Regions from separate parts of the Mus musculus genome. Here regions 1, 2, 4, 5, 6 and 7 are each reported to be linked to region 3. The links are microRNA targets in miRTarBase. Many come from high-throughput screens and were not tested one by one. Region 3 holds a microRNA gene; each other region holds the end of a gene's coding sequence.

Region 1 (4,067 bases), not on the chromosome of region 3:
TATATATGCATCACATGATGCATAAGTGCTACTATGTGTGTGTGTGTGCATGTGTGTATCAGAATCTGTGCACACACACACACACACATGTGCATGTGTGTGTGCACATAGACAACTTTCAGATGTCTGTTCTCTTTCCACCATGAGTTCTAGTGCTCAAACATGTCTCCAGGCCATCTTGCTGGCCTTAATTGCATCTCTTTTTTAAGGGGGGGGGGTAAAGGGGGTATGGAAAGAGAGGGAACCGGAACCCCACACTTGCAAGGATAGTCAGAGCCCCAGCGCAAGAAGAGCAGAGCGGTGGCCGTGTGCCTGAGTACGCATGTAATGGTCGTTCTGTTTCATACAGTCATGTTTGTGCTGCTGGTGCCAAACGTTTGAGGAAAAGCAGTCCTTGGAGGAGAAGCAGTCCTGCCTGAAGTTCAAAGCCAACGATCACGGATATGACAACTTCCGGTCCAGCAATAAATACAGCTCGTCTTGAAGGCAAGAACACTCGCCGAATCTCACTGTCCTCATTGTGGACAGATACCATTAAAACAAAATGAAACCGTTGCCAAATCAAAATGGAAAAAACCATGCTAGCAGAAAGGTGTGCGCGCGTGTGAGAGGGATTATTTTTAACTGTTCTGACGCTCAACACCGGATATATTCACGGGCTGTTTACAACCTAAGAAAGCTGTGGGAAGGAATGAAGCCCTCCTCCGTGGGGAAGCACTTAGATTCTTAGTCAGCACTTCAGCAGAGCTCTTAAAAGCCCCTAGTGCGTTCACATGCCACTTACGTTTAAAAAAACGAGAACTTCACTGAAGTTCTGTTCAGGAGTTTATTATCCAGTCCTATGAATCTGGATTCAAGAAAGCATGACATTGCAAAACAATTCTTAAAACGAAGTTTCAATTGCTTAATTTGAAACTTAAAAAAAAAAAAACTAATAAATTTTTATGCATACTATCATACCCACTAATCTGATTGTAACTATATGCAAAAGAAAAGGCAATATGGTTGGTAAACTTTTTTGGTCATTACCAACATTGAAATGATCAGAATTCGGGGGAAGAAAAGACAGCCTGCGAATGCCACAGAGAAAACATGGGAAAGCGTGAGCTGCTATGCCTGAGACTTCTGAAATTCCCTCACACATACTCTGCAGAAAGACACAAAACAGAACACTACCTATGATTTCTTTAAAGTTCTTTCAAATATCCTTTCATGATTGAAGTTTAAATTCCATGTGTTCAACTTCATCATCTGTAAATACTTAGCTATTAGCTATAAGCACTACACGTAGAGGACTTAACAAAGGGCAGGTCCCAGCGTTCGTAGCTTTCTGACAAAGAGATGCCAGTAACCCGGTTATAGACAGAATGTGAATTGCCCGGTGCAGTGTCCACATGGCAAAGAAGCAGGGAGCATCCTTTCAGCCATGCTGTAGAGAAAATGGTCCACAGCACAATATGATAGCGAAAATACCGTGGTTTAACGCCATAGAAAATAGTCACTGTAACCAGCTCTCTCGGAGGCATACTACCAACTTTTTATGTTATTCCTGAAAATAGCCAATAGAAAGGCGTTCTGGACATGGTGCTTTTTCTAAAACGTAGAAGCCAAACTGCTTCGGGGTCTGCAAGATCCTCCTCTTTGCGCATTCTTGTCTAGGTTTTTTTTTTTTTTTTTTAATCTCCTTCCACGACGTGCCTTAGGTTCACTCCGGATGAGCGGTGTGTGAAAGAATGCCCAAGAGAAAACTGAAGAGAGAGGAAATGAGGTGGGGCCAGAGGAAGCCCGTGGGGAAATATTCCCATTCTTAGCCCTGTGTTCGTCACTGCCACGTCATGTCGGTGTGAAAGGTCCTGGTTCGGCTCCAGCAAAACAAAGCGCAGCGTTCTCAGCGTGACTCGGGAACAAACCAAGCCCGAGAGCTTTAACCTTGTCTTAAAATATAACAGATTTTCCTTCCTTCCTTTTTCTCTTTCTTCTCTTCTCTTCTCTTCTCTTCTCTTCTCTTCTCTTCTCTTCTCTTCTCTTCTTTTCATAACCCAGGCCACATGTTGAAAATGAGCTTAACAATGCAGTTTTCTACCAAAATCATTGTGACAATACAATAAACCCAAACGGGACAATGAGGTAAAAAACCAAGAACAATACTGAATCCACGTGACACATGACTCTCTTTAGGAGTCACCCACAGTTCTTGTGTGTACAGATTGCTTTTTAATCATAAAGGACGCCCCAGATCTTCAATTTTAAGTTAGTTATTGGCTCCCCAGTAGTTTCACAGCGTGGATATATTTTTAATTTTTACTAAGTTTTAGATTGGTTTTATTGTTGTGTTCTAAATTCTTAAGTCCTAACATCTTTGTTTAACCCAGATGTTCCTTCCCTCTTCATGGGCAATAATCGTCCTGCCAAATTATGAAATGGCATAAGAATACTATTCACATAATATATACAATAAAACTATATTAAGTGGCTTTTTTATTAAAAATTTTAGCACACAGACCAAGGGTGATAAGAAAAAAAACATGATTCCCTTGCATAATTAAAACCAAGATAAGAGAAGGTACCATCTAATTTAAAGCATATTTTCTAACATTTAAGTAGCCTAATATAGCAATGCATAAAAATAGTGTTAACAAGGATGTTAGAGGTCAAACGATTTGTAAGTGACTTCAGCCTATTTTCTCCCAAATTATTTACTGCTATTTTTGGTCTGTGTTCAAACATTTTCAGTATTGATAATGTGCAACAGCCAAAGGAACACTGTTTTCATCCAAATGCGGGTGTGTTGTACCTAACATGCACTTGTAATAAAGCCGTGTAAAATAACTGTGTTTTGTTTTGCTCTGGTCACCTAAAGTGGCAGCTTGTGTCGTTGCTAACTTCTTGTTGAGTAAGCAAAACCAATAAACGTTCAAATGGTTTAAAAGAGCAGCTTATCTTTCGCTACTCATTCATAAATCCTAAGTCAATCATTAAAATGAATAGAGATGCTGTAACTGTGCCTGCTCCTTGCCGGCAGGCCCAGGAGAGAGGAGAGAACTGCTGGTCCCGCCCACCGGGGTCTCTCTGGGGCTGAGCAGGATGGTGAGTGTCCACAGCCCAAAGAAACGCACCGAGCTGGGAGTCTTGTTGAAGCAGGAACTCAACTTTATGGCATCAGCCTCTCTTAAATAAGTTCAGAACATTGGGAGGGGATTTTTGGTGGGGTAAGATGACATTGAAGACATGGAATGGTGACAGAGGGTATGGAGGGACTGACAATGGCAGAGCTCTACATCAGCAACAGGGCAAAGGCAGGGCCAAACAGGTCTTGCTGAGTCACTCTGATAACAGAAGTGACTGAGGCAGGTCACAAAATTAGAGCCAGGCTTAGGCTCTCCCACAACGCTGCAGAAACTCGAGCCAGGCTGGGGCTTATCCTCAAGGCCCAAACCAGGGCCAAAATGGGGCCCAACAGTAAATGGACATCATTTATGTTAAACACATAATTATCAAGGAAAGTGAATTTAAATGCCACTATAATGGCCTTGCTATGTCTTATTACACATATGTAGCTATCACTCATGGTTGATCATTTTCTGATCACACATACTTAGCCATCCTTCCCAGTTGATCATTTTCTAATTTCACATATTGGGGATCCTTCTTATGTACACATAGAGAGTAAGGAAAGTTCTCTCTGAACAGGGTGTGTGCCATCTCCATTCTGTGCGCATGCATAAAAGCTGTAAGTGAAGTATTGGTGCCACATTTTAAAGTATGAGTGAGTGAATAAGCCAATAAGCATCTTAGGAAACTTGCAATTAATGTGGGAGATGCATGAAGAAGCAAAAGAAAAAGTCCACATGATTAGGCTTGATTTTCCCAGAGATGTAAGACAAAGGAAACCAAATCAAGGTGCTTAATATTCAAAAGAAAACTTAGAAATTCAGATAGTGCTCTTGAAATTTGAAAATATGGTAGAAGAGATAAAAGACAAAAGTCAAGACCTCCGAAGGCTAAAATTGACAACAAATAGCATGTGAAGGGCCTCTCCCAAACTGCTCAGTAAGCTGACAACCAGA
Region 2 (4,067 bases), not on the chromosome of region 3:
TATGTGGCCTTCCCACTGTACATGTCAGGAGGCCTGTCAGACACACAGTTCTGCCCCTGTGTTCTCTCTGTGCCTTGGGGGTCTCCGTATACCAGTTTACAAGGCTTTTTCTTTGTTCTGGATGATAACCCTGGTGTTGCAGTGAGTGGGTGTACCTGCCTCTTAGTTAACCTGTGTGGTAGTTTTTTTGTTTTTTTGTTTTTTTGTTTTTTTTTTTTTGTTTTTTTTTTTTTGAGACAGGGTTTCTCTGTATAGCCCTGGCTGTCCTGGAACTCACTTTGTAGACCAGGCTGGCCTCGAACTCAGAAATCTGCCTGCCTCTGCCTCCTGAGTGCTTTACAGGCGTGTGCCACCACGCCCGCTATGTGGTAGTTTTTAAGAATCTGTTTTGCATATGAGGAAACATGTGTGACTGAAATGACCTACCCAGATTTGTCACCAAGAAAAGCATCTGGGATTCTTGCTCCTCCAGCCCTGCCTTGTCCCAGTGGCCTCCAGGCTTAAAGCCTTCTCCCGAGCAGGTGCTCTGAGGCTAGTGCCCAGTTCCTGCCTTACTATATACCTTCCATCTCTGGTTCTGAGACCATTTATTCTGCCTCAGACCATATCCCTTTCTTGTACAGAAAGTACCAGTTCGTGGCTCTTTCCAGGGGAGATGGCAGGAAGCCTTAGCTTCTGTACTAACCTGTGCCTTCTAACCTTTGAATACTGTGCCTGTGACTTGGAGGCTCAGCTACTGCTCTGCCAGTAGGATGGCCGGTCTCCTCCCTCTTTGTTCCAATAGCAGGCACTGGTCATTGCCAGATCCCTAGATGCTGTATAGACCTTTGGGGGAGTCTTTTTCTTAGGCTCTTGTCTCAGCACTGGGGCACACAGCTTGGTGGTAGGAATTAGGGGAGGGGAGCAAGCTGGACCCAAGAATGGGCAGAATGCCGGGGATCAGGCCTGAGGGAAGCTGAGGCGGCAGGCAAGCAGTTTGCTTCCTGTGCCTTATGCCTTCTGCTTCTCACTGCTGTAGGTTGGGACCTCTCCAAGCTGAGGGGCTCAGGTTGGCATATGTGCCTGTCCGTGCCTGGGCACAATAGCACGCACAGCTTAACAGGGTTTGGGGAAAAAGTCAGAGGCGTTTGTCTCTCCAGTACTGGGAAGAGGGGCACTCGATGAGTCTGGTGGATGTACCGCTTAGCACAAGTCCTGGGGAATACCGTTTGTGCTGCGTTCTGTGGCCTGGTGGGGCAAGGGATAACATTAGACCTCCTCCTTCCTACTCCTCCTCAGTCTGAAATCTACATAGAAAGGCTCATTCTCTGGGTGGGAGATCTCCCTGAGCTGGCATCCCTGCTTTGGACCTATTGACTAGTCCATTTACCCCATGTTAGCCCCATGGGTCCCAATAGCGGCTGCAAACCAGCAGTTTCCCATGGAAGTAAGGCCTGGGCTGAGAGTAGCTCCTCCCCCACAAAGGGCCCCAGGGAACTAGATCATAAGCCACTTGGGACACTTCTCTGCTTTTATCCCTGGCCCCTGGGATGAAGCAAAGGTAGCTGTGATTCTCTGCTGGGAAACGGAAGTCACCCTGGGGCAGGGCTACTGGCCAGCCAGCAGGGCCTTAAAAGATTCAACCATGGAGGGGATACCACGGATAATAAGGAAAAAAAATAAGGGTGTCTAAAGCTCAGATGGGGTTCCAGAGAAAAGGAGTGTGCTATCCAATGAGAGAGGAGCCTGGGTGAGATGGAAATGTCTTCTTGCCCTGCCCTTGGGCTCCTTGGCTCACCTGTTGTAGTTGGTGACCTGTTAGTTACTTTGCCTTCCTGGAATCGTCCCATACACATCTTTGAGGTTCCCTATGGTGTGGTGCACCTCTGTGGGCTGGGGCTGAAGGCAAGTGGGAATTCTTTTTTTTTTTTTTTTAAAGGTTTATTTATTTATTATATGTAAGTACACTGTAGCTGTCTTCAGACACTCCAGAAGAGGGAGTCAGATCTCGTTACGGATGGTTGTGAGCCACCATGTGGTTGCTGGGATTTGAACTCCTGACCTTCGGAAGAGCAGTCGGGTGCTCTTACCCACTGAGCCATCTCACCAGCCCGCAAGTGGGAATTCTGAGGTATTTATTAATAGACTGTTTTTTTTTTTTTTTCTTTTTTAAACCCAGCTTTATGTATATTCACAATCTCCACAGGGGGCGCCAGCGAGCATGAGGGCCAACTTTATGCACATGTGCTGGGAAGCAGGAGCTAGGGGCGGGGAGGGGTGTGGGTGTGGGTGTGGGTGTGGGGAGGTGGGGGGTGCACACAAAAGCCTAGGGTGTCAGGAGAGAGCAGGAAATGACAGACCCAAGAGGCTAGTTTTGCTCAAAATGCTCTGTTTATTGCTCTATTCAATGACCACGAGCGGATTAAAAAAAGACACCAAATGTCTCCGTTTGCCGTGGAATAAATATTTAAAGTCAGCAATAAAAACACGTGGCTCCAAGATAACACATGTTGCCAAAGAGTCATGCATGCCCTGTTCATGGGCTCTCAACACACGCATGGACAAGGGAACACACACAGAGCAACATGTAGGGAGACACTTGCGGTTTCCCATAGTGACACAGAAAGATGTCTCACAGGTCTGGAGCTGTCCACATCCTACTCTTGGAGGCCCCCCTCAGGGCTCAGATCTTTGGGGTTCCCCACTATATCTGTCCTCTTCCTCTCCAGTGCCACATAGACTGGAGATACTCATCTTTGCCCAGGAACTGTCTTAGCTGGGATCTCTCTGTCAACCATCATGTGCTCCCCTGCCTGGTCTCTGCCATCCACATCCTGGTAGCAAAATGCACTCTGCCTTTGCAGAGGAGCCAGTGGGGCCAGAGGAAGGTCAGTATCTCTGCCTGGGGAGCAGGGTGGGAGTCTGGTGTGGGGATGTGGGTGAGGGCTGAGGGGTGAGAGCTTAGTTCAGTGCTCCTTTCCTGGCTGAGGGGACACAGTGTTTGGTACAAATAGCTGTGATAGATGGACAGACAGAACACATTATGGTAGGACACTTGGGGTGTGGCATGGAAACATTTTGGACCAAGTAGCTGTGGAACCATGGTTAAAACTGAGGCCCTCAGGTCTATATGGTGTGGGTCAGGCCCAGGGGCCCCAGGCCTGGCCTGGCACATTCCTCCCCTGCCCTCCCCAACTCTGCAGTATATACAGTAGGAGAGCTAGGCTTGGGGTAGGGACCAGGCCAGGACAATAGATGGGGAACAGACTGAAGAGAGGGGAGGATGAGGGGGAGGGCCAGGGAATAGGCCCAGGACCCAAGGCAAGATCTTGGGTAGTTGGGGTAAAGACCCAGCCTCAGGCTTGGCAGTACCCAGTGGATCTCAGAGGAAGAGCGTGGTCACTCTGAGGACTGGAGGGACAGCTGCTTCTCATAGAGGCTCATGGCGTGGTGCACAAACTGGTACTGTTCGCATGTCTGGATCATGCCACCCCTGCCCAGTAGAGATGCAGTAGGCTGCGGGAGGGCCACCAACACTAGGGGCACCAGCTAGTCTGCAGCTTAGAGAGACCAACTCTTCCCAGCCACTGCCCTCTGCCCCTTCCTTTCAGGGCCACACCTTTGTTTTCAGCACTGTCTTTCCAAACCAGCTGCCTCTCTTCTGCCTTCTTCCAGAAGAGAGCTGACTGGATTCTGTGCTCTCCCATTTGGTTTTTCAGTTCCCTAGCCACCTTACACACTATGTCTGGTTTGTCAGCTATCCCTCGATTCACGCTCACATCATGTTGCCACCCTCTCCTCCCCTGATCAGCGGGCTAACCTGTCCTGACGGAGCTGGCACGTGGTCTTCAGGATGTCCACCACGCCCTCACGTCGCAGCTGCTGGCAGCAGATGCTGGTGGCAATGAAGCAGCCAGTTCTCCCAATCCCTGCACTGAGGGCCAAGGGGATGATGGGGTAAGGGACAGAGCAGTCCAGGGATGGGGTGGCCCGGCTCCAGTGGGTGGCCAGGAGAACCCACCTGCAGTGAACGATGATTGGGGAACAATGGGGTCCCTCTTGTTGGGCTGCCTCCTCCACTTCCCGTA
Region 3 (4,067 bases):
ATGTTGAGTGCAGCCATCAATGTTTCCTTTTGATGAAATTGTCTTGGTCTTTTCTATCTCCTGGCTCTTCTTCCCACTATGGTTCTTTGAAGTCTGTTGTATGTTAGTAACTAGTCATCTGTATGGTTGTGGACTCATAATTATAGATCACCTTGACTGTATAGCAAGAACTTGTTCAAGACAGAAAAGTTGTGAGGAAGAAGGCACTATGTGAGAACCTTGTAAGTAGCTCTGATCACATGGGCTGAGACTTGGATGTTGATGTCTGTAAAGGAGCCCTCAGAGACATTGCTTCATCTTTTGTTTCAAGCTGAGACGTTAAGTGCCCTTTTCAAGGTAAAGCAGTATAGATTATGATTGCAGTTAAGTAAAAATTTTTGTAGTAAACATTTGCTGTGAGCCAGAAACTGTTCAAAGTACCCTCATATATCTTCTCATTAAATTAAAACTCTGAGGTTCTCTCCTCTCCTATTCTACATTTGAGAAAACATACTTGGATACGGAGGCTCAGAGATGACCCAGAATTCCTTAAATTAGCACATGGAGATGGAAATGTATCTGGTTCTCTCATGGAGATGTCAAATCCCTAACCGCAGTAACTGAAACTGGAGGCACAATATGATTTGTATAGACAGTGAGTAACTCTGTGAGTATTTTTGCTGAGTAAATCTCTTGACCCTAAAGCAAAAATTTGAAAGGACGTAGAAGAAATGAGAATAAAAGACTTAACTAGATTTTTTTCCTACAGTAAATAGACATTTTTAATACACCCTATTTCTGACTAGAATGACACATTTCTAGAAGATATTTGAGTGCATTTGGTACTATGATGGCACTTCCCATAAATTGTTAAAATGAAACACTTATTTATCAAGAAATTACAAAAAATAGACAATATAAATACATGGAAGCTTAAAAAAAAAACTTGCTGGTTCCCTTTAGAAAAGAGGCCACAGGACTGTATCTTGTGATGTCTGTCACATGATATATCTGTACAGCCTACTCCTTTGCTTCAGGAAACTTGTTGTCTGTAAGAATCCCAAGGTACAGTCAACGGTCGGTGGTTTTTTTGTTTTTGAATCCCAAACTCACCGACAGCGTTGAATGTTCCATGGAGTCCTCTTAAGGCTGGCTTGGTTGCCCATCTTTGGCCTGCTCTCATATTCTAAGGACCACTGCTGTTGGGTCTCTCACATTCTTCCCAAAATTTCAAGTTAACAGTACTTACACTGTGAAGTTAGTTTGCATAAAGCAGAAATGAGCTGCAGGATTGTGAGACTGCAGTTTACATTGCTGACTAAAAGTGGATATCTGTGGAAATATTTTTCAATGCTATCATTCTGAAAACATCAATATAGCAATTTTGTAGTAATACTTTAATTATTAATGTACAAAAACAAGAAAGACCATAACACATGCTGGGGACTTATGTGTAGTAGGATTTGTATATTTAATTCCAACCGTGTTTTCCTTAAGAAACAGAGACTTACCCGGAGTTCCATAGCCAGAACTTGAACACCAGAGTTCATTGTTCCAGTATTGGTTGGATATGTTGCTTTCTCCTTCCTTTACCAGTCTCAGATTTGAACCTTTACTGCAGAGCTAAATCAAACAAGCAAATTCCTTCTTGTTTGCCTGTAATAGTAGAAAATACATCTAAAGTCATATATTTCAGAGAAAAAGATGAAAAACAAAACTCAGTAGCTGAGAATCATGGGCTGCTAAATTACCACAGAAGTGCTAGTGATGCTCCATGATTTTTTTTCCCCATATAGGAAAAGTAAAAATTCTATGTGTACTAGAGCACAGAGAGTGTATCTGGAGAGATGACTCAGCAGATAAGAACTTGTACTTTTCTAGGCGGGACTTTGATCCCAGCACCTGTCTTAACCACAATCTGTAACTACCAATTCTTGCTGCAGGGATCTGTCAACTCAAGCCTTCACAGGCACTTGAACAAACACACACACACATACATACATACATACATACATACATACATACATACATACATACATTCATTCATACATACATACATACATACATACATACATACATACTTAAAAAATAAAAATCTTTAGAAGAACACAGAGCAACTAAAATGCCAGATGTATCTGATCTTTGTTTTGGGTGGTTATTTTTTATTACTTATTGACTTTCTTTTCCCCCCTCCCTCCCTCTTTTCCTCCTCATTTTTTTCTCCTCTCCTCCCTTCCCATCCCTCCCTCTCTTCCCCTCCCCCTTCCTTCCCCTCCCCTTATCTGGAACTCTCTTTATGTAGAGCAGGCTGCTTCAGACTCAGAGATCTGCCTGCCTTCCTCTGAGTGCTAAGATTAAAGGTTGTATCATCATGCCTGGCTATTTATTGAATATTTTTTATGAAAAGTCTTGAAAACTAATTAAACATTTTTCAGAATATTGGCTTTATTTTAAGCAACATAGAAGCTTTGTAGAGCTGCTGGCTGAATTGAGGTTAATATCTATCTAATCTAGGATACTTTGTGTTTAAATATTTTCTTAAATGTATTTATTAAATTTATTATTTTTATGTGTATGGGTGTTTGCTTAAGTATATGGCTGATAATCTCAAAGGCCAGAGGAATGTGTCAGATTCCCTGGAACTAGAGTTAGATGGTTATAAGCCCACATATGGGTGCTGGGAATCAAACTTGAGTCTTCTGGAAAAGCAGCCAGTACTCTTTTTTTTTTTTAAAGATTTATTTATTTATTATATATGAGTACACCTTAGCTGTCTTTAGACACACCAGAAGAGGGCATCAGATCTCATTACAGATGGTTGTGAGCCACTATGTGGTTGCTGGGATTTGAACTCAGGACCTCTGGAAGAGCAGTTAGTGCTCTTAACTGCTGAGCCATCTCTCCAGCCCCCAGTACTCTTTAACCAATGAGCCATCATTTCTCCAGCCGCTTTGGGTTTAAATACTGATGGTTGACCTAGCTGAAGATTCTTTTTTGTGTTTGTTTGTTTGTTTTCGAGACAGGGTTTCTCTGTATAGCCCTGGCTGTCCTGTAACTTACTCTGTAGACCAGGCTGGCCTCGAACTCAGAACTCAGAGATTCACCTGCCTCTGCCTCCCAAGTGCTGGGATTAAAGGTGTGTGCCACAATGCCCAGTGATGAAGATTCATTTTTAAAGTAGCCAAATGGCACTTCTTGAGAGGGAAAAAAAAAAAAAAATCAGCGAGAATTTGGTTCAAATGGAATTGTTTACATTCTGCATCACTTTATTTCATTCTCCATCAAAATTCTTCTCTTTTTTTTTTAATATTTATTTATTTATTATATGTAAGTACACTGTAGCTGTTCTCAGACACTCCAGAAGAGGGAGTCAGATCTCGTTATGGATGGTTGTGAGCCACCATGTGGTTGCTGGGATTTGAACTCCTGACCTTCGGAAGAGCAGTCGGGTGCTCTTACCCACTGAGCCATCTCACCAGCCCCAAAATTCTTCTCTTGTAATCTTTGCTGAGTTCGGTTGTTGTGAAATGGAAGCCCAAAGAAATGAAAATATAGGGGCTAGAGAGATGGCTCAGTGGTTAAGAGCACTGACTGCTCTTCCAAAGGTCCTGAGTTCAATTCCCAGCAACCACATGGTGGCTCACAACCACCTGTAATGAGATCTGATGCCCTCTTTTGTGTGTCTGAAGACAGCTACAGTGTACTCATATAAGTAAAATAAATTTTTAAAAAGGAAAGGAAGGAAGGAAAGAAGGAAGGTAGGTAGGAAGGAAGGTATCTTCCTGTGTAGTAGTTTAAAACCTCTGGCTTAGGTTTATTTTAAATGGTCTTTGCCTTTGTCTCCTAAGAGATGTCAAGCTTTATATTACTTAGAACAGATAATCAGAAACAGTGATATCTGCTGCACCAAATTAAAATATAAAACCTGTTCTTCAGTGTACAGCATTCCAAGAATCCTGTTCTTGATATGGAGATACTTCCTGTTGTATTTGAGATACTTTTCATCCCCCCCTCCCCCCCCCCAGATAGGGTTTCTCTGGGTAGTCTTGGATGTCCTGAAACTCAACCTATAGACCTGATTGACCTGG
Region 4 (4,067 bases), not on the chromosome of region 3:
CTTTAAACAGTTTAAGGACTTCATAGTTACTATTAGAAATGGTTTTTGCATTTATGTTGTATGTGTATGGGCATGCATATGTGTAATCTTTCTTTCTTTTTTTTTTTTTTTTTTTTGGTTTTTTTGAGACAGGGTTTCTCTGTGTAGCCCTGGCTATCCAGGAACTCACTCTGTAGACCAGGCTGGCCTCGAACTCAGAAATCCACCTGCCTCTGCCTCCCGAGTGCTGGGATTGAAGGTGTGCATATGTGCAATTATAACCCAAGTGTAGGAGTTAGTTCTCTCCTTCCACAATATGGATTCTGGAGATCAAGCTCAGGGTGTCAGGTACTGTAGTCAGTGGCCTTTATCTACTGAGCATCTCACCAATCCTATACACATACACACCTTTTATACTTTTTTTACCTTCATGCTAAACTTTTGTTGTATTTTTTAATTTCAACAACAAAATCAGATTGATATAGTAGGTCTGTTTGGTTTAGTTGTACATGGAGCCAAAAGGACCTCCAAGAATTGGCCACAGGCAACCAGACACCTCATTTCTCTAATGCCTGCTCTCTCTTCCAGATTGGCCAGGATTCTTGTCCGCCTACCAGCACTCAGGCTCATGAGCTCCAACATAACAGAAGAACTTTTTTTTACTGGTCTCATTGGCAATGTTTCAATAGACAGCATAATTCCTTACATCCTCAAGATGGAGACAGCAGAATATAATGGCCAGATCACTGGAGCCAGTCTATAGTGCACAACCAACAGCTGCCAACAGTGGGATGCCTCCTAGAACTGTGCAGGTGCAAGGGAAGGGAAGTGTAGCAGTGTCTTGGTGTGCACAGGTGTCTCCAGTGTGTCAGCCACTTCTTCCTGTTCATCCCAGACAATAGCAACTAAAGATGAACTCTTCCCTGCCCTAAGAAATGTTTTAACACCTTTTGGTGATGCAGATTTTGGAACAATCTTTTAATTCAATTTGTATTTTAAAATTCTCAAAGGGCAAAAAACAATACTGAAGTTTTATAATGTCAGAGACTAGTATTAAAAGAACCTAAGAACAGTATGTGTAAATACATTAAAAAAAAAAAGTCCTTGGAATTAATAGCTACTAATTACCAGGGTAATGTTAGCACTTTCTAAGCACTTCTTATCAAATCTGCAATGTTAACATCTTACCTGTGGACAGGGCAAATGGAAAACTGTGTCTCTTTTGTCAAAATGCTAATGATTTCTGTGAAAATTCACTAGGGTACAGGAGACAATCGTTCACATTTGTAAGAGGGCAGCACTTCTAGCTGTGTGCAGTGGTGGTGCTACGCTAAATTCCTGTGAGTAAAATGTGGATTCCTGGCATTGTGTGCAGGGGATATAACTTGCAGTGACCCAATAAGAGCTGCTATGCCAGCAGAGATAGCCTGTCAGGGTCCTTACCCTCATGGTTGGTCCCAATCCCTGATGCCTTTCTGCAGACTCTTCCAGAACATGGGCTCCACTAATTTTCAGAATTAGATTGCAGCTTGTCAGAATGCCTGTGATAAGGGTCCTGTAATTCTTCCAGTGACTGAAAGTACACCTGGATCCCTCTACCAACTTGTAGGAACTGGAGCCTTTGACCAGAGTGCAAGGTGGTTGACTGCACCCTTTGACATGACCTGTTGTCCAGGTTGAGTGTGGCTTCTGCAGTGAGAGTTCCTATTCCTGGTGCATGTGGAGAGGGGCCAGTATCTGATCATTCAGAACCTGCAGCTGGGTGGGGGTTGTGTATCCTCGCTGTCTGGTGAGGGACTGGCCTTAGATTGTGAAACAAAAGGCATCAAGAGAAATACTTTCTGATCTTTTAAGTATTAGTGATTTTAGTGTACTGGGACACGATGTTCTTCAGTTCTCCCAGGTATGTGCTAGTCCAACAAAGCTCTCTGGGGCATTTGAGATAACAAAAGTAGATCATCTTCTCTCTGAAAGAGAATCCAAAAATAATCCTCAGTCAGGGCACATAGTGCAGGCCTGTAACCCCAGCACTTGGGAGGCTGAGGCACAAGAATTATACTTTGAAGGCCAATCTGCGCAACTTAATGAGGAAACTCCTGAGTTTTAAAGGAGTTTAAGGGAGTGGGGTAGGGTGGTGACTTAAGTGGTAATGTGCTTGCCTAGCATGCACAAGGTCTTGGGTTCCATCCCCAGTACCAAAAGAAAAAAGAAAAACCTTCATTCACAAATTCCCTTACGTTATAATGACTATAGTTTCCAACAAGAAAGAATACAGAATTCAGTTCCAAGGAAGTTAGATCTGACTTAAAGCTCTTTGCATTCCTATGGACAGGAGACTGGGAAAAAAAAAAGTGGAAATATACTTGGTATTTGCATTTAGATTAGCAGAACTTAAGCAAAATACCTCCTGTAAGGTTAAGTTTGTACCTGTTTATGGGCAGGTACAGCCATGGGGCTCAAGGCTAGATAGGCTGTTTCCTTTTGAGGAGTTAATGACACTTTATTCACTGCTAGTGGGATTTAAGTACAGAAGTATCTCTAACTTCTAAATTCCCAGCTAGATTTGGAAGCCAGTGTTGGAGAACAGCAGGGATTGCCAGTATAAAATGATGGAAAGGACATAATTTTGCCAGCTTAAAGCTTTTTTTTTTTTTATGTATGTATTCAAAATTAAGACAAAAGCTCTGGACACCAGTATAGTTCGAGTCTATTTTAATCTCTGTAGAGATTCCTGTAGTACATTAATCAGTACACCTTACAGTGCTGGCTTTGCTTCCCTTAGGGTTTTAGAATGTGAGCCACTCAGACAGGGCCTGGACAGCCTGGCTCCCATTTGGTATTTAGACCACATAGTTGGATAAGAAGTACCAGCCTCTAAGATGACACTGAAGGGGGAAAAATTTTTTTTTTTTTAATATAGAAAAGAGTTGGTGATTCTAACTCTGGTCCTTTGTAAGTTCCGTCATTAGTAATGGCCAATTGACAGGGCCACTTTGGGCCAAACTCCTTCACTGGTTGTCCAGATCGTTGTGGCCTTACCTTTAACAATTGTATCCATACAATGTTCTCATTAACTGAAATCATTTCAAACTTTGAATGATGCTCCATTCCATGGCTTGTCGAATGACCTATGAAGGTCAGCCCCAGTTGCTTCTGGGCTTCAGCTTTCAGGGCTTTCCACCCTTGATTTATGAGTCTGTGATACTCCAAGCCTTATGAAGCAGGGCTGACCTGTCTAGACACCCCTCTCAGGGAGGTGGACAGACACACTGACCTGGCTACTTTTGCAGATAGGCTAGGGTGGAGAGATACACACCAACCCTGGCTAACTAGGCTCTTTTCCAGAAAGGTCTTAAATGTTGATAGTTCCATGTTAAAATTTGGGATAAAATATGACAGGAGATGTAGACAGAGACCAAATTCCTTAAGCAAGTCATCCTAGTTACTCCTCAAATGTTACAATGTGTCGCTGTCCTTCCAGTTTGCAGTGTGTGTTGAAGAGGCTCTTCACTGCCTCTTCTCTTTCTGAGGCTGCAGTTGGGGTTGTGGTGTCTTGAGTTTCTATAATGAAATTCAAGTGAGTCACTTATGCCCTTGGAATGGTTTTCTAGTTTGTCAGTGTCAGTATTAGATGTGGATGGTGTTCTGAGGTAGTCATGGCATCAATCAGGGTGGTCAGTATGGCTTTCAAATGGAGCAGCAGCATCCACACTATATAAAATTGTTTTGAAGGGTAGTACTGCTCATGCAGTTCTCTGGTCAGTATCCCTAAGAGCTGGACCTATTGTCTGGGACCTGATGTCATGGGGGTCTGGAAGACTGTTGCTGCTTTCCAGTGGCTGGGTGCAGCGGGGCTGTTGGTGCTGCTGAAATTCTAGATCCAGGCCTTGAAAAGCATCACTTGACAGCTGCTTTTTTTTCCCAGGGGGAAGGTCCTGGTAAGACAGATGCCCACCTCTTTCCTTTGCCTATCTCCAATTACGGAGAACCAATCTCCAGATTACGGTTCTTTGCAAAAAGTCTTAACTCTTATGTCAATTTCTAAAGACAACTCCAAAATGAGATGAGGTTGACCTAGGTGTTTTGTA
Region 5 (4,067 bases), not on the chromosome of region 3:
GCTTTCCAGAGACCCTCCCCCAGATCTAGGGCTACAACCAGGAAGAACTGCAGGCCTTTGCTTTGGCGTAAGTTCCATGTGATACTAAATATATTCCCTTCTGATTTATTGGTCTTTCTCCCTTAGTAGTGCTGAAAATAGAGCCATGGGTCTCGCATATGTTAGGTGAATGCTCAAAGTCCTGAATACATCCCTGGCCTTCTAATGTCTGATTTATGCAATAAGGGAGTCAAGTAGAAGGCTCATGTGCTGTCTCGGGCTGCCTATCAGTGTGGCTCAAGCCGCAGGTGCCAGCACAAGCATTCTCAGCAGAACTACCATCCACTTTCCTCCTCAACATAAACCTCTGGGCATTGTGGATTCAGACTGGCAAGTACTCTCCTGATGGGGGGACCAGTGCCTCCTGCTGGACCCTCGCCTCCCTTGAACCTTGTTTCAGCTTTCACATACAGCTCCCTCACTGGGGGCCTCTAGGTAGGACCACTGAGCCACACTCTAGCCCATCACTGGGGGATTCTAGGCAGGGGCTCTCCCACTTAGCCACGCCTCCAGAGCCTCCCTGGGGAATTCTAGGCAGGGCTCTACCACTCAGGGGCTCTACCACTGAGCCACAGCCCCAGCCCCTCCCTGGAGCCATGCTTTAGTACAGAGCTTTCTGATTGGTCCTTGGCTTCTATACGTCCTTCATCCCTTCCTGACTCAGCAGCTAGAGCAATTCAGTCGAAATGAATACTAGATAGTGTCACTCTACGGCTCCTTCCCAGCCAATTGCTCCCACAGACCTCATTCAGCAACCCTGTGTCCCTAGCCTGAGCTACTCTGTGTACAGTGTTCATGATGAGAATGAGAGAGAGAGAGAGAGAGAGAGAGAGAGAGAGAGAGAGAGAGAGAGAGAGAGAGCTGTTTCTTAAAATTGTTTATTTTAAAACATGAAACCCAAGCTGAATAGAGACCACAGAAATTACATGGACAAGAACTTTAGTTATTTGCCAAGAAAAATAAAGTTCCCCACAGAAATAAAAATCAAACCCCAAACCCAGTTTAAAAAATGAAAGCACAGCAACAGTAACACACAGCCATGGCCCTACAGAGGCTGGAGGGGAACTTGGGGCTGGCTCGATTCAGATGACATAGTCCACTGGGGGCAGATGCAGGCAGAGGGACCGTAACTGGGAGGCAATCTCACAAAATCACATATGGGAGGAAGGGTGCGGCACACCACCGCTGTGATGAAAAACAAAGAGACCCTGGTCACCTGTGGCCCACCAGCTAGCCACCTTCTGGGCCGGACAGAGCTGGGACCGGGTAGGGCAAGCTTTGGAGCTGGGGTCAAGAATTGCATAGTGATATGGGGGGGGGGGGGGGCGGGGTGGGCACAGGGAGAAGGGCTTGAAGGATGCTCCAGGCCGGGATCTTCTGCTACTCACATAAACCAGAGAGTGTTGGTTGGGGTGGGGGCCTCCAGTCCTATCAGTTTTCTCAGCCAGATCCCTCCTCCTGGCTCGGCAAGGGATCGGGCTCTGGTTTGGTGGCTTAGCCCTCCTTGTTACCCACCAGAGCTGTAGGGTCCCCTTGGGTAATAGGGACTGGGGACCAATCACAGGCAGCTGGCACTGGACTGCTCACTCCCTGGGGATGTGGGGGTGGACCACTGGGATTGAGTAGGTAAGTGGCACCCCAGAAATCAGGAAAACGAAATGAAGCCAACCGCAGTGGTAGGAGCCGTCTCCTCCGCAGGGGTCAGGGCGAGAAACCCCTGCTTTCATTTCCCCTGCTTCCTTTCTTCAGCCTCGGTGAGTGAAACGTCACAGATGGGGGCACTCACGCACAGAAGGTCAGGACTCCCGAGACAGCACAAGTTCACAGCCACGTCCGGGCAGTGCCCGCCTCTCATGCTATATACATTCACCTTGTGGCCTGCTCACGGCCAGGGGGCAGCATTTGTGCTTCTGAGAGGCCCCAGGGCACACCCAGGCACCCAGGCAGGGATACCCCAAACCTCCCTCCGGACCTTAGGCCAGGAACATACCCATAGTGGGCAGGCTGGCTGCAGCTGGGCTGCTCTGGCCCTGGAGGTTCCTGGCGCCAGGCCAGTTGGAGTCAAGGCCAGGGTCCCCTGCACTGATGTTGTCGTGCTTAGGAGCTACAGATGCCCCGACTGGGACCCCTAGGCCCTCCGAGTCCTCTGCCCACTCCTTTTGGTCCCAGACACCAGCACAAAGAAAGGGATTTTGGGGAAGGAAAGCAACGTGGAGCCTCTCCCCTCTGGGGGAGCTGAAGCCCAGGGGGTTCTGGGATCCGTAGCTGCCAGGTTGCTCCAGGAGGGCCACAGGTCTGTAAACCACTGGGTCCCAGCCTTGCCCCTCCCACCACATGCTGCTCCACTGGCCCGTAGCTGCCCATCTCACAGACCAGAGCTCACACTGGCTGGCTGGGCCAGGGTAGAGGCTCCAGGTCCTGATTTGGAAGCTAATTCAGCCCAGAAGCACAGCAAACATCACACACTAAAGCCAAAAGCACCTTAGGCAAGCGGTGTTCTGGGTGTGGGGGGCTGAGGCCACATGGACTTCAGTCCCCGGACCCCAGGACATGCTCCTCCTGGGGCAGCACCTGCCTGGGGAGGGGTCTCTAGGCCCTTTGAGTAGCCTGTGGGTCTGGCCCCTCCCTGGCAGCACCCCACAAAGAAATGACCACTCTAGCCCTGGCTCCAGGCTAGACTTAGGGTCACGCTTGCTGGCTCAGGGTCAGCCAGGAGTGCCCATGGCAGCTGAGAGTGAGGTTAGTGGTTAGTCCCAGCGGGGGGTGGGGGGGGCCTTCTGAGGCTGGGGGCACATTCACAGCCGTCACAGGTCCAGCCCCCAAGGCTGGGCTCCAGAGGGCACTGCCGCTTGTCCTGGGTGAGAATGAAACCGAGAGGAAAGTGGGCAGTGTCCTGCGTCGCCTATGTCCCAGACTGCCCTGGAGATGACAAGTGTGGTCAGTGCAAAAACAAAGGGGAAGACAAAGCTGCCACTCTTCAGGAATGAATGGGAAAGAGGGTTTGGCACCAAGAAGGTGGCCAGCACTGAGAGGCCAGGGAGTGACCTGGGCTCAGCTTGGCACCTGCTGTCTGGGGAGGGCTGGCTGGGCACTGAGGGAAGAGTCATGTGGGGAGGAGGTGTAAGAAGAGCCCCACCCTAGAGGCAGCTCAGAACCAACAGGAAGAGCCAAGTAAGCCAGGTGGCTAAGGGAAGGCAGGCGCCGGACGTTGCAAAGACCAGAGAGTATGAAGGGGCCGTTCGGTGATGAGCAGGTGGGCGCCAGGCACAGGGTCCCCTGCCTGTGAATGGAGATGGGATTCTCAGGAGTGTGGCGGTAGGGCAGTACCAGGAAAGGCTCGCTGTAGCTGTGGGGAGGGGGACGCCCAGAGTGCAAGGGGCAGCATGAAGGGTCACCTGTAGAAGGAACGCAGGCAGGGTGGAAGCACCCGGCACAGAGCAGGGCTCAGGGAGCCCAAGAGGACAGAAGGGCAGGGGAGACGGAGGCAGGCAGGGTCAGGTTGCTGGTGGCAGCGACTGTCCAGGTGAGCACCCCAGAAGCCTCACTTCACAGGCTGGCCCGGAGCTCATGCTGGGCACCTCCATGCCTCCTGCAGGGTGGGTATAGCGGGGGGGCCTTCAGGTGTGCCTAGGGCTGGCCCGGTGTGGCTTGTGGAAGGTCCAGCAGGGCGGAAGCAGCGGTGCTGGCATAGGAAGGGTGGGGCATTGGCACGTGGGGGCAGATGGCTGGCCGGTGTGCGGTCTAGTGCCCGCTGCCGCTGGAGTCGGGGCGAGGCTGGCTCGTGGCGAGGTATTTGGCTCTCATGCTGGAGGTGTACTAGAGGAGAGAGGGAAGGAGGGAGCAGGGTCAGGTGAGTTCCTAGGTGGGGGCTGAGCAGCCAGCAGCCTCTTTGATGTGGTCCTTGGTAGGGTGAGCCACAGCCGACCCTTGGGGAGAGCATGGTTGGCGGAATCCTAAGGTAAGAGGCCACTGGCCCAGGGCTGGACCAAGGGCTGAGTACAGGTTAGGGAAGTGATGGTACCTAGAGT
Region 6 (4,067 bases), not on the chromosome of region 3:
AGGCTACTTCCAGCCTTGGGGTCTTCATTGTGGTGGATCAGTGTAGCCTCTGTGCTGACAAACAGTAGACTGTGGCCCTGCTTCAGCTCCTGAGAAGAAATCGCCGCTGACACTGCAGGTGCCCAGAGTATTGGTAACCAATGTCACTTGTGCTCCCATTGCATAGTGTAGTGTGCTATGGTATAGTTACTGTACTATAATATATATAGTGCATCATGATATATTTTTATTCTTTATAGTAAGTAGTTTCTAATAGTTGTAGCCTCTGCTTATCTGATTGCTATTAATTTTTCCTTCTGAGATAGTTTAACTGGGTATATAAGTATTGCATTAATAATGTTACTTTAACATCCCACTGCTTGTTGAAATGAATTAAGAATCTAAGATTAATCACTAATATATCACTTTATTGGTAAATAATCTCTGAATAATAGGCCACTTGGAATACTGCACAGGCCCACATTTTAGTTTCTTTGAACCAAATAAGAAAAGTTGCAAGATGTTTTAGTGTAAAAATCAATTTATTATACAACAATCACACAGAATGCTTTTCATCTAAAAGAAAAATGGCTTCTGCCTCCCTTTCCACCCGAGTCATGATACTGTGTTCTTCAGATGCCATACTTTCAAAGGAAAAAAAAAAGTCCTCAATTTCCAAAGAAGCGACCTCTACTAACATTCTTAAGTGACACAGGAATGTTTGGAAGGACTAGAAAAGAATGGTCTCTAACATACAAAATGCTATTCTGCCCATTTTGGTTTAAAAAAAAATTCTCTGATGTGGGAAGACAAGAACTTATCCACCAATATGTATAAATATAATTCTGATGGGTTGACATTTTCTATGCTTAATTCATTCAGCAAATATTCCATTTTATTTTAAAAGTTGGGGAAATTAAGGTTTTATAGTATCTAAGTACTTTTGTTCTCATGAATAAAAGGGAATTCACTTGGGAAAAGACGGTTTCCTATCAGATTATAGAGACTTTTTTTTTATACTTCTATTTTAGAAAATTCACACTAAGAATGAATGGGTTAAAAATCTTTCCAGATGGCATTTTCTCAGCACAGATTTCGTAGCTCTGCATGGTGTGTCAGCCCTTGGGTGGCTTAAGGCTTAGTGCTGCGCTGGGCTTTGCACTGGGAGGTCTAAAGCTGGCTGGTACTGTGAGCTGCCACTGTTGATCTGCTATAGGAAGATAACACCCTTTGTGCTACACAGATGTGAGGTCATGAAAACAGCCTAAACTGAAGGTACGATGCACAGCGCGACTTAAACGCCTCTCACTGGCGAGCAGGAATAATCTGGTACAATGGCCAGTGATGCCTCTTGAGTCTCATTTTTACCCAGAATTCATTTTACTAACAGATTTCAGATTGTGTTTGAAAACTAAAGCTGAACTCCAGATTCACCAAGGAGTTTGTTCCTTTGGTCTTGTCATAGAAGGACAGTAACATACTCAAAGCTAACCCTTAAGATGAATTCTTGGGAAAGAAAAACACCAATTTGAGGCTAAGTCACCAGAGATGGTGGTAAGAAAGCACCCGGGAGCAGATCAGTTTGAGAAATTGTTTAGAAAATGCACTGAAGCATAGGTGGTCACCAGACAGGAAGAGTCTGTTCAACAGGAATGACAGACATGGCACAGGACATCGGACTGTGGTGGTTTTCAAAATACACCAGTGAGAAGGGTGGTATAGTTACGAGTTTAAAACATCAGTACAATTTTTAACAGGGAAAAGTTAAAATGGGAGCTTGCCCAGAAAGGAAGACAGGGGTGGGCAGGCCCCGCCGTTGGCACTCGAGGAACACCTACCTGGTGCCCATGCGCTGGGTGCCAGTGCCATGAACCAAGAACACATTTGCTGAAATGGAGGGGAAATAGAGTAAGTTGTGTTTTGTGTATGTTTTGGGAAATGCCCTTTTTCACACCTGGTATAGATTAACAGTGGTGATCCATCAGTTTGAGGAAAAGGAGGTGGTCCATTGCCTTGCTCAGGCTCTGTACTAGGTTCTCCACAGAGACCACAGTTCTGAGCAGGGACAGCATTGCTGCTTGAGCCAGACACATCATTATGGCTTAGTCCCACCCCACGAGATCGTTCCAAATGACTGCTATGCTTTTCTCCTCTCTAACAGTTAAATTTAACTCATGAAGCTTGACAGCAATGGCTTGCAATGGTGTTCACGAGCAGGCTCAGCAACTGCTTGCAATGGTGTTCACCAGCAGGCTCAGCAACTGCTTGCAATGGTGTTCACCAGCAGGCTCAGCAGCAACAGCTGACAAATAGAATGTCTATTTTGCCCCTGGGGCTCTGTTGATTATGATTTGTAAATATTCCAATTGCATTTCTATGCGAAGAAGAACTGCAATTGGACAACTCCAGCCTTTGTTCAGAAAGGGCATGGCAGCTGTATGTAGACACTGGCTTTGGATGTGGGGAACATAACTCCAGAAATCTAGACTAACAAGGGAGGTAGACAGGAATGGATGAGCAAGGATGCCAATTGAAACAGAGACAGCTCTGTTCAAAGCCCCTGAGTTATGATTTGGCAAACACATTTTTCTTTTCTGGTTGAGACAGGGTCTTGTGCCTGTGTACCCTAGGCTGTCTCAATACCCAAATGCTGGACTCACAGATGGGTGCCACCATACCCAGCTCAAGAGGCTGTTCCTTCATGGAATGACTAATCTTCAAACTATATTGAAGACAAACGAATTTCATTACCACATCACTAAGTTGGAAATCAGAGGTGGTTAAAAAAAATGTAGCAGATGAGACTCCTGGCTTGAGAGGGGAAAGGGTTTTGCTGGATTCTGTCTTGCTAAGGATCCCGCTTAAATGCTGCCTGGGGCTGCTGCCTTAAGCAACAGCAGACTAATCGATTTATGCACTGACAGTTATTGCTTGACATAGACTAGAACAGACCCTGACATTTACACTACAATGAACAGTTTTACACATCTAAAGAAAATTAACTCTGAAGACTTGCCATGAAGAAACGAAGCCCGAGTCTCCTGGTTTTCGACGTGAATAAGGCATTACAAAGCGCTCCGGAGAGGGGGCTGTGCACCTGTTCAAGGTTTGTAGAGGTCGGCATGGCTCCAGTTAGTAGAGTAACCTAATAGCAATATATTATAATACATTCTGGGTACAAATGATTTACAAACTCAAAAGGAATTAGTTTATGCTAAAACATACAACTTTCTATTCAGTCTCTGCTTTAAAACAAGCTCGTCTGTTTGCTGCCGCCGCCGCCGCCGCCACCACCTCAGTTTGTGTTCCCCGGCACTTCATTTTATTGAGCCTTCTTGTCCGTCATGCCATTAGCCACAATTAAGTGGGCTTTGGGGAAACCATTCTTCACTTCTTTCTCTTGCAGCTCTTTCTTCACTGGCTTTTTCCGGTATGTCTGTCAGAGTGTAGACAGGAGAAGAAGCAGGGAGGCATTTTAATAAGGCCTTGTCTCTAACTCCCGACATAGCATGTAGTTAAAGTTCTACACAGTTTTCCTTGGCGTTGGACCTTCTAATAAGAATTTGTTCATTTTTAAGCCTCTGCTGCAAAGCTCAGGTAAAAGCCAACACAGACACATGAATGTCAGACAAAGCTACTTCACTTTATCTGAGTGACATCATAATTTGCTAGCGATCAATCTCTTTCATTGGTTGTTCACTTGGAAAAACATAATAACTTCCTTTAAAATTCAGAGTAAAAGGAGCTGCTATTTTATGTTTTTTATTTTGAGATTGCAATTTAATTACATCTTCTGATTCTGACAGGGCTTTAGTACTATAGATGGAAAGCAGGACTCATACATGGTAAGGATGTCAACTGCCACAGAGCTCTATGCCAGCCCTGGATGTCCCTCTCTGTCATTCTGATGAAATACCTGGTCTGTCCTCTCATGTTTGCTTATTGAAACAAAGTCTCACACAGCTCAGGTTCGTCTCCAACTTGCTATGTAACCCACAGTTACCTTGATCATCTGCTTCTACATCCCTAGTGCTAGGATAGCGGTGCTTTTACATTTTAAAAGGCAATGATGGTATTAGCAAGAGCCA
Region 7 (4,067 bases), not on the chromosome of region 3:
GGACCCAATGTTCTACCTACCACATCTTGCTTATGCCAACTTGCAGGTTATCATCGCTTTTCTTCCAAGTCATCTCTCCAGGTATGAGGATGTCTGATTCAATGTCTCAAAGGGCTTTGAGGAATCACTTAGAAATGGCTGGCTCACTGGTTAGTGCCACTGGACACTCTGTGGACTTCCCCCCCCCCCCCATGCATTACCAATCCTAAATGCTTAAACTGTAGCCTAACAAAGCACTAGATCAAAACCAACATCAGAACCAACATGACAGAACCCCACCACTACTTCGACGTCAACTGCACACAGTAGATGTCCAGTGGATGCCTATTAAAACCTTAGCTCTGCATAAGCCCTTAGCCATTTTGTAATGGCACTGCAAATTTGGGACATCTCTCAGACCTGTGCCTTTGGAAGCCTTTTGTTTTATTAAAACCTGAAAGGACTGGGTTATACCTAAGCTAAGTTGCCGTTCAGGTTCCTAAGGAAGACCATGCCTTCACAACCATCAAAACCTGACTTCCTCTCACACCCAGGATTCCTTAATGTCCAGTGTGCATCAGGACTGCTTTCGAATGCCAGAGAGCACTGCTGTCAACTTGGATGCACGACAGGTTACCACCAGCATGGTTAAGCCTGGATCTCCACCTCCCTAACTTTGTTTTTTTTTTGAGACAGGGCTTCTCTCTATAGTCCTGGCTGTCCTGGAACTCACTTTGTGGACCAGGCTGGCCTCGAACTCAGAAATCTGCCTGCCTCTTCCTCCCGAGTGCTGGGATTAAAGGCGTGCGCCACCACACCCAGCTCACCTCCCTAACTTTTAACTCTGCAAGCTTGGTAGAACAGTTTCTTCCTCCACACGTACCTCTGGCCCTCAACTCATTACCCAGAAGGAAACAAAAAATCCTACTGAGGATTGATTAATCATGTATTTATTTTAGTTCAGTTAAAACAAACATACATTGTTTCATTGAAACCGGTGTAGCATTTACTCTCTGCCAACAGGCCACAGAGGCATGTTGGCCTCTAACAGTACAGCTGGGACATTTACACTATATACATACAAGGAGTCCTCTTTCATTGAGATCACACTTGACATGTTACCAGATAGCCATGTGGTAGCTACTGCATTTTGAAAATTTAGACCTCATTTAAAGCTTTAGATTATCTGAACTTAAGTTGATGTCCAACCAGTTTATTGCAAATACAATTTAAACAAGTTATTTTCAATTTTAGTATTATACACAATGTCAATTTCTTAAGATTGAATTCTCTGTACAAGTAATTTGGAGACATATATAATGTGAATTCATCAAAATGCAGTTAAGAAACTTAGGGGAATATATACACTTGAACCCAATTCCAACAGTATATACAATCTATTTACAAATACATATGGACAATATATGTACAGTTTATCATAAATATTGAAAAATAGGTTAGCTTTAATGGATTAATGCTGCTCTATAAATAACAGTACAGTTATTGAAACGTTCCATGGAAGACAGCGATGTGAATTGAGGTGACGGGACAGTGGTTTTAATACTGAAGACTGCTCAAGGCTGAGAATTCAGTTCAGGAACCTCAAGGCGGGTAAAACAGCCCCAAGCTTTGGAATTTGGCCTGAAATTCATTTGGAACCTTGCTCCCTCACAGGAGGTTTGGGAAGTCTCTCCACACTGATCGGCTGTGAACAGGATCCTGGTTGTCATGGCACCTCTCAGGATGCCTGCCTCTCAGCATCCCCTGGCATATGGTAGCCAGGACTCTTTCCAGGACTTCAAGCGGAGGTGCAGAGTCTTTGACGAGCAGGTGAGGTTCTGGACTTGATGACAAGTAAGCAGCATGGGGGAGTGTCTTCTCACTGCCTTTGCGTCTACACAGTCCCCAGGGGTTTCATCTTGGGACAGAACTGACCATTGGTTGTACCCAATGTATGTAGCACTACCAGACGTCTTCCAGTCTGCAAGAGTCTTTAATGGCAGACATACCTTGCCTATGAATTCAGTCACATATACAATACAAGACTGTAACAAAAACCATGTGTGTCACATTTCTTCTGGCCCCTGCCTCAAACTCAAAACATGTAGTTTCAAGAGCCAGATAACCAATTGACGATTCTACTTGCTTCCCTCCACCACTTAATGGAATTATGTATATTAATTAGACCTTAGACAATACGCTTGATGAGCAAAGTACCTCATTATTTAAAAATATGTTCACCATACACCGTTAACAGACAGTAAATGTGCTCTTAAAGCCAAGCTTCCAAGTAATGTCTTCACGTTTAACTGGAATTGAAATGGAAAGGTAAGCATGCGGCTGGACCAGACACCGAGGACAGGCAGCTTGTCCCGCCTCCCCTAGCTGATCATTTGTTCGATGTAAACAAATTGATTCTGCATCTCATTCAATGAGATGATGATCCAGTTCGAGTTTTTAGGAAGCTTGCTGCATGAGAAACCTTTCTGAGGAGGGCCTGCAGTGTACCTGCATGGTGCAGCCTGGACTGCCAACACAGCAGGAGCACCACTGAGCTGCGTGTTGTCAAGTAAACCACGCTTCCAGTAGATGAGCCTTTGGAAGTTCTGCTCTCTATTGGACAGTTTTGGCCTATTGCCATCAAACGCCCGTTTTCACTTTTGGAAGCAAGGTTTTAAAGGATGGGCCCAAAAAGCACGACCCAGAGCTGACACTGTAACTCTGGAGACCGATGCAACTGAATAAACCCTGTCTTACCCAATTGCACTATTTGGTACCTCAAAATCAGTTATTTCATTTCCTACAGAAATCTCGGCACTGTTTCCCAGACTAATTGAAGACATAAACATTTTAGTTGTAATGAACCAATTATTTGGAGGCAAAGAAAGCGATGAACGGAGTTCACCTGACTTGGTGCAGCAACGACCAACTATCCTTCAAATGAATCTGAATGAACAAAAACAAAACCATGCTAATCCATGGTGCAATTTTTTGTAACATTTTTCCCGAAAATGATTTTTGGGTAAAAAAGTATTTGGCTTATAATGCCCACAAAAAAGGCAAATAATTTCATAATACTAATATTCATTTTTAAATATCAATGAAATTGTTTGATGGAGTTTATTGACAACTGGTTCTGAGTAAAGTTCAAAAATGCAATTTCTTCAAAGTAAAATAGTGCTTCTGAGGTCTTTTAAAGTATTTTTTGGTACAAAAAATAAGTGTATTTTCTCAATGCTTATTTCAATACTTTGCTGTAAATTAAGAAGTGTTTCTCACATCGAATGGTTCCGTTAGGCACATTCAAGTAAAATCATAAAATATCCAAGTTAAACAATGAGACAGCCAAACATGTGGCTTTGATAAAAAGTTAAAAGTTCGTCCATTCTCTGGAATGGAATAAACTTGTCACTTCCCTTAACCCAAGGCTCGTGGTTTTGTCGTACTATCCATTCCCTAACACACAGATAGCTTCTTAAAAAAAAAAAACAAAAACAAAAACAAAAAACCAAAGAGAAAGAAAAGTTCACTTATTCTGAATCCAGAAGAACCAGCGAGTAGACTGCACTTCAAAAGGAAGTGACCGGGACGCATCAGGTGAGACTGAGCAGGCTGAGTCGACTCAACACGGTAGGCAGGCGGATGGACCATCCAGCGTGAGGGGAGCTGTTAGTGCCCACCTGCAGCGGAGGCATCGTGGACCCAATCCAGCACAATCAAGCCCATGCTTCCAATCATCACCACTATGCCACTCAGGAGAAAACACAGAGCCTGCAGGAGGCAGAGAAGACTCATCAGTAAGGCCCCAAGAGTTCACATCACAACACTTACAAATACTCTAATTTCACCTGACTGTTCTTAAAGTCATCAAACCATTCCTGTGTTTCTTGTAGCACAGAAATCCTGTATTGCTGAAACCTTCTGAGTTCTGTAATTTTTCATTCTTTTTTTTTCCCCTCAAGCCAAAGTTCTCCCTTTGAAAGTTAGACTTTGTGTGTACGCAAGCTTTCTTTCAGAGCAAATTAAGTCACAAAAAAAAAAAATCAAGCCCAGGTTAAGTCCTAGAGTTGCAGGGACCATGGATGGGC

Evidence for each region. Region 3 holds the annotated microRNA mmu-miR-181a-5p (AACAUUCAACGCUGUCGGUGAGU, at 1,087-1,109, opposite strand). A microRNA usually pairs through its seed, bases 2 to 8, with sites in the 3' UTR of a target mRNA and lowers its output. Matches are read on the target gene's strand: a 7mer-m8 pairs with bases 2 to 8, a 7mer-A1 pairs with bases 2 to 7 and ends in A, and an 8mer does both.
Region 1: the mRNA of Ednrb is a reported target of mmu-miR-181a-5p. The part of its 3' UTR that is shown has no 7-base or 8-base seed match.
Region 2: the mRNA of Ptpn5 is a reported target of mmu-miR-181a-5p. The part of its 3' UTR that is shown has no 7-base or 8-base seed match.
Region 4: the mRNA of Nr2c2 is a reported target of mmu-miR-181a-5p. The part of its 3' UTR that is shown has no 7-base or 8-base seed match.
Region 5: miRTarBase lists Ttyh3 as a target of mmu-miR-181a-5p. Seed matches in the 3' UTR shown: 7mer-m8 at 2,831-2,837 and 8mer at 1,901-1,908.
Region 6: miRTarBase lists Elovl2 as a target of mmu-miR-181a-5p. Seed matches in the 3' UTR shown: 7mer-A1 at 3,145-3,151.
Region 7: miRTarBase lists Slc38a2 as a target of mmu-miR-181a-5p. Seed matches in the 3' UTR shown: 7mer-m8 at 3,279-3,285.

What each region holds. Positions count from the first base shown.
Region 1 is chr14:103,813,483-103,817,549 of GRCm38, reverse strand. Ednrb (endothelin receptor type B) reads left to right here. Exons shown (of 8, transcript NM_001136061.2): 8 at 350-2,935. The coding sequence ends at 484. The region is part of intron 1 of Gm35197 (a long non-coding RNA gene); the gene reads right to left. Among named protein-coding and RNA genes, the nearest start is that of Ednrb, 29 kb to the left of the region's middle.
Region 2 is chr7:47,075,447-47,079,513 of GRCm38, forward strand. It overlaps Ptpn5 (protein tyrosine phosphatase, non-receptor type 5), which reads right to left. Exons shown (of 14, transcript NM_001163565.1): 12 at 4,001-4,067; 13 at 3,800-3,913; 14 at 2,352-3,472. The coding sequence ends at 3,379. Among named protein-coding and RNA genes, the nearest start is that of Mir7056, 5.7 kb to the right of the region's middle.
Region 3 is chr2:38,849,783-38,853,849 of GRCm38, reverse strand. Mir181a-2 (microRNA 181a-2) reads right to left here and starts at 1,115; the gene lies at 1,040-1,115. The region is part of intron 3 of Nr6a1 (nuclear receptor subfamily 6, group A, member 1); the gene reads left to right. Nr6a1os (a long non-coding RNA gene) reads right to left here. Exons shown (of 7, transcript XR_866167.2): 3 at 1,491-1,635. It overlaps Mir181b-2 (microRNA 181b-2), which reads right to left and starts at 20; the gene lies at 1-20.
Region 4 is chr6:92,166,892-92,170,958 of GRCm38, forward strand. It overlaps Nr2c2 (nuclear receptor subfamily 2, group C, member 2), which reads left to right. Exons shown (of 15, transcript NM_001347342.1): 15 at 568-4,067. The coding sequence ends at 742. Mrps25 (mitochondrial ribosomal protein S25) reads right to left here. Exons shown (of 4, transcript NM_025578.4): 4 at 2,621-4,067. Among named protein-coding and RNA genes, the nearest start is that of Gm46967, 12 kb to the left of the region's middle.
Region 5 is chr5:140,619,677-140,623,743 of GRCm38, forward strand. It overlaps Ttyh3 (tweety family member 3), which reads right to left. Exons shown (of 14, transcript NM_175274.5): 14 at 901-3,855. The coding sequence ends at 3,781. Among named protein-coding and RNA genes, the nearest start is that of Lfng, 14 kb to the left of the region's middle.
Region 6 is chr13:41,181,993-41,186,059 of GRCm38, forward strand. Elovl2 (elongation of very long chain fatty acids (FEN1/Elo2, SUR4/Elo3, yeast)-like 2) reads right to left here. Exons shown (of 8, transcript NM_019423.2): 8 at 390-3,415. The coding sequence ends at 3,302. Among named protein-coding and RNA genes, the nearest start is that of Elovl2, 36 kb to the right of the region's middle.
Region 7 is chr15:96,686,479-96,690,545 of GRCm38, forward strand. Slc38a2 (solute carrier family 38, member 2) reads right to left here. Exons shown (of 16, transcript NM_175121.4): 16 at 914-3,750. The coding sequence ends at 3,649. Among named protein-coding and RNA genes, the nearest start is that of Slc38a2, 11 kb to the right of the region's middle.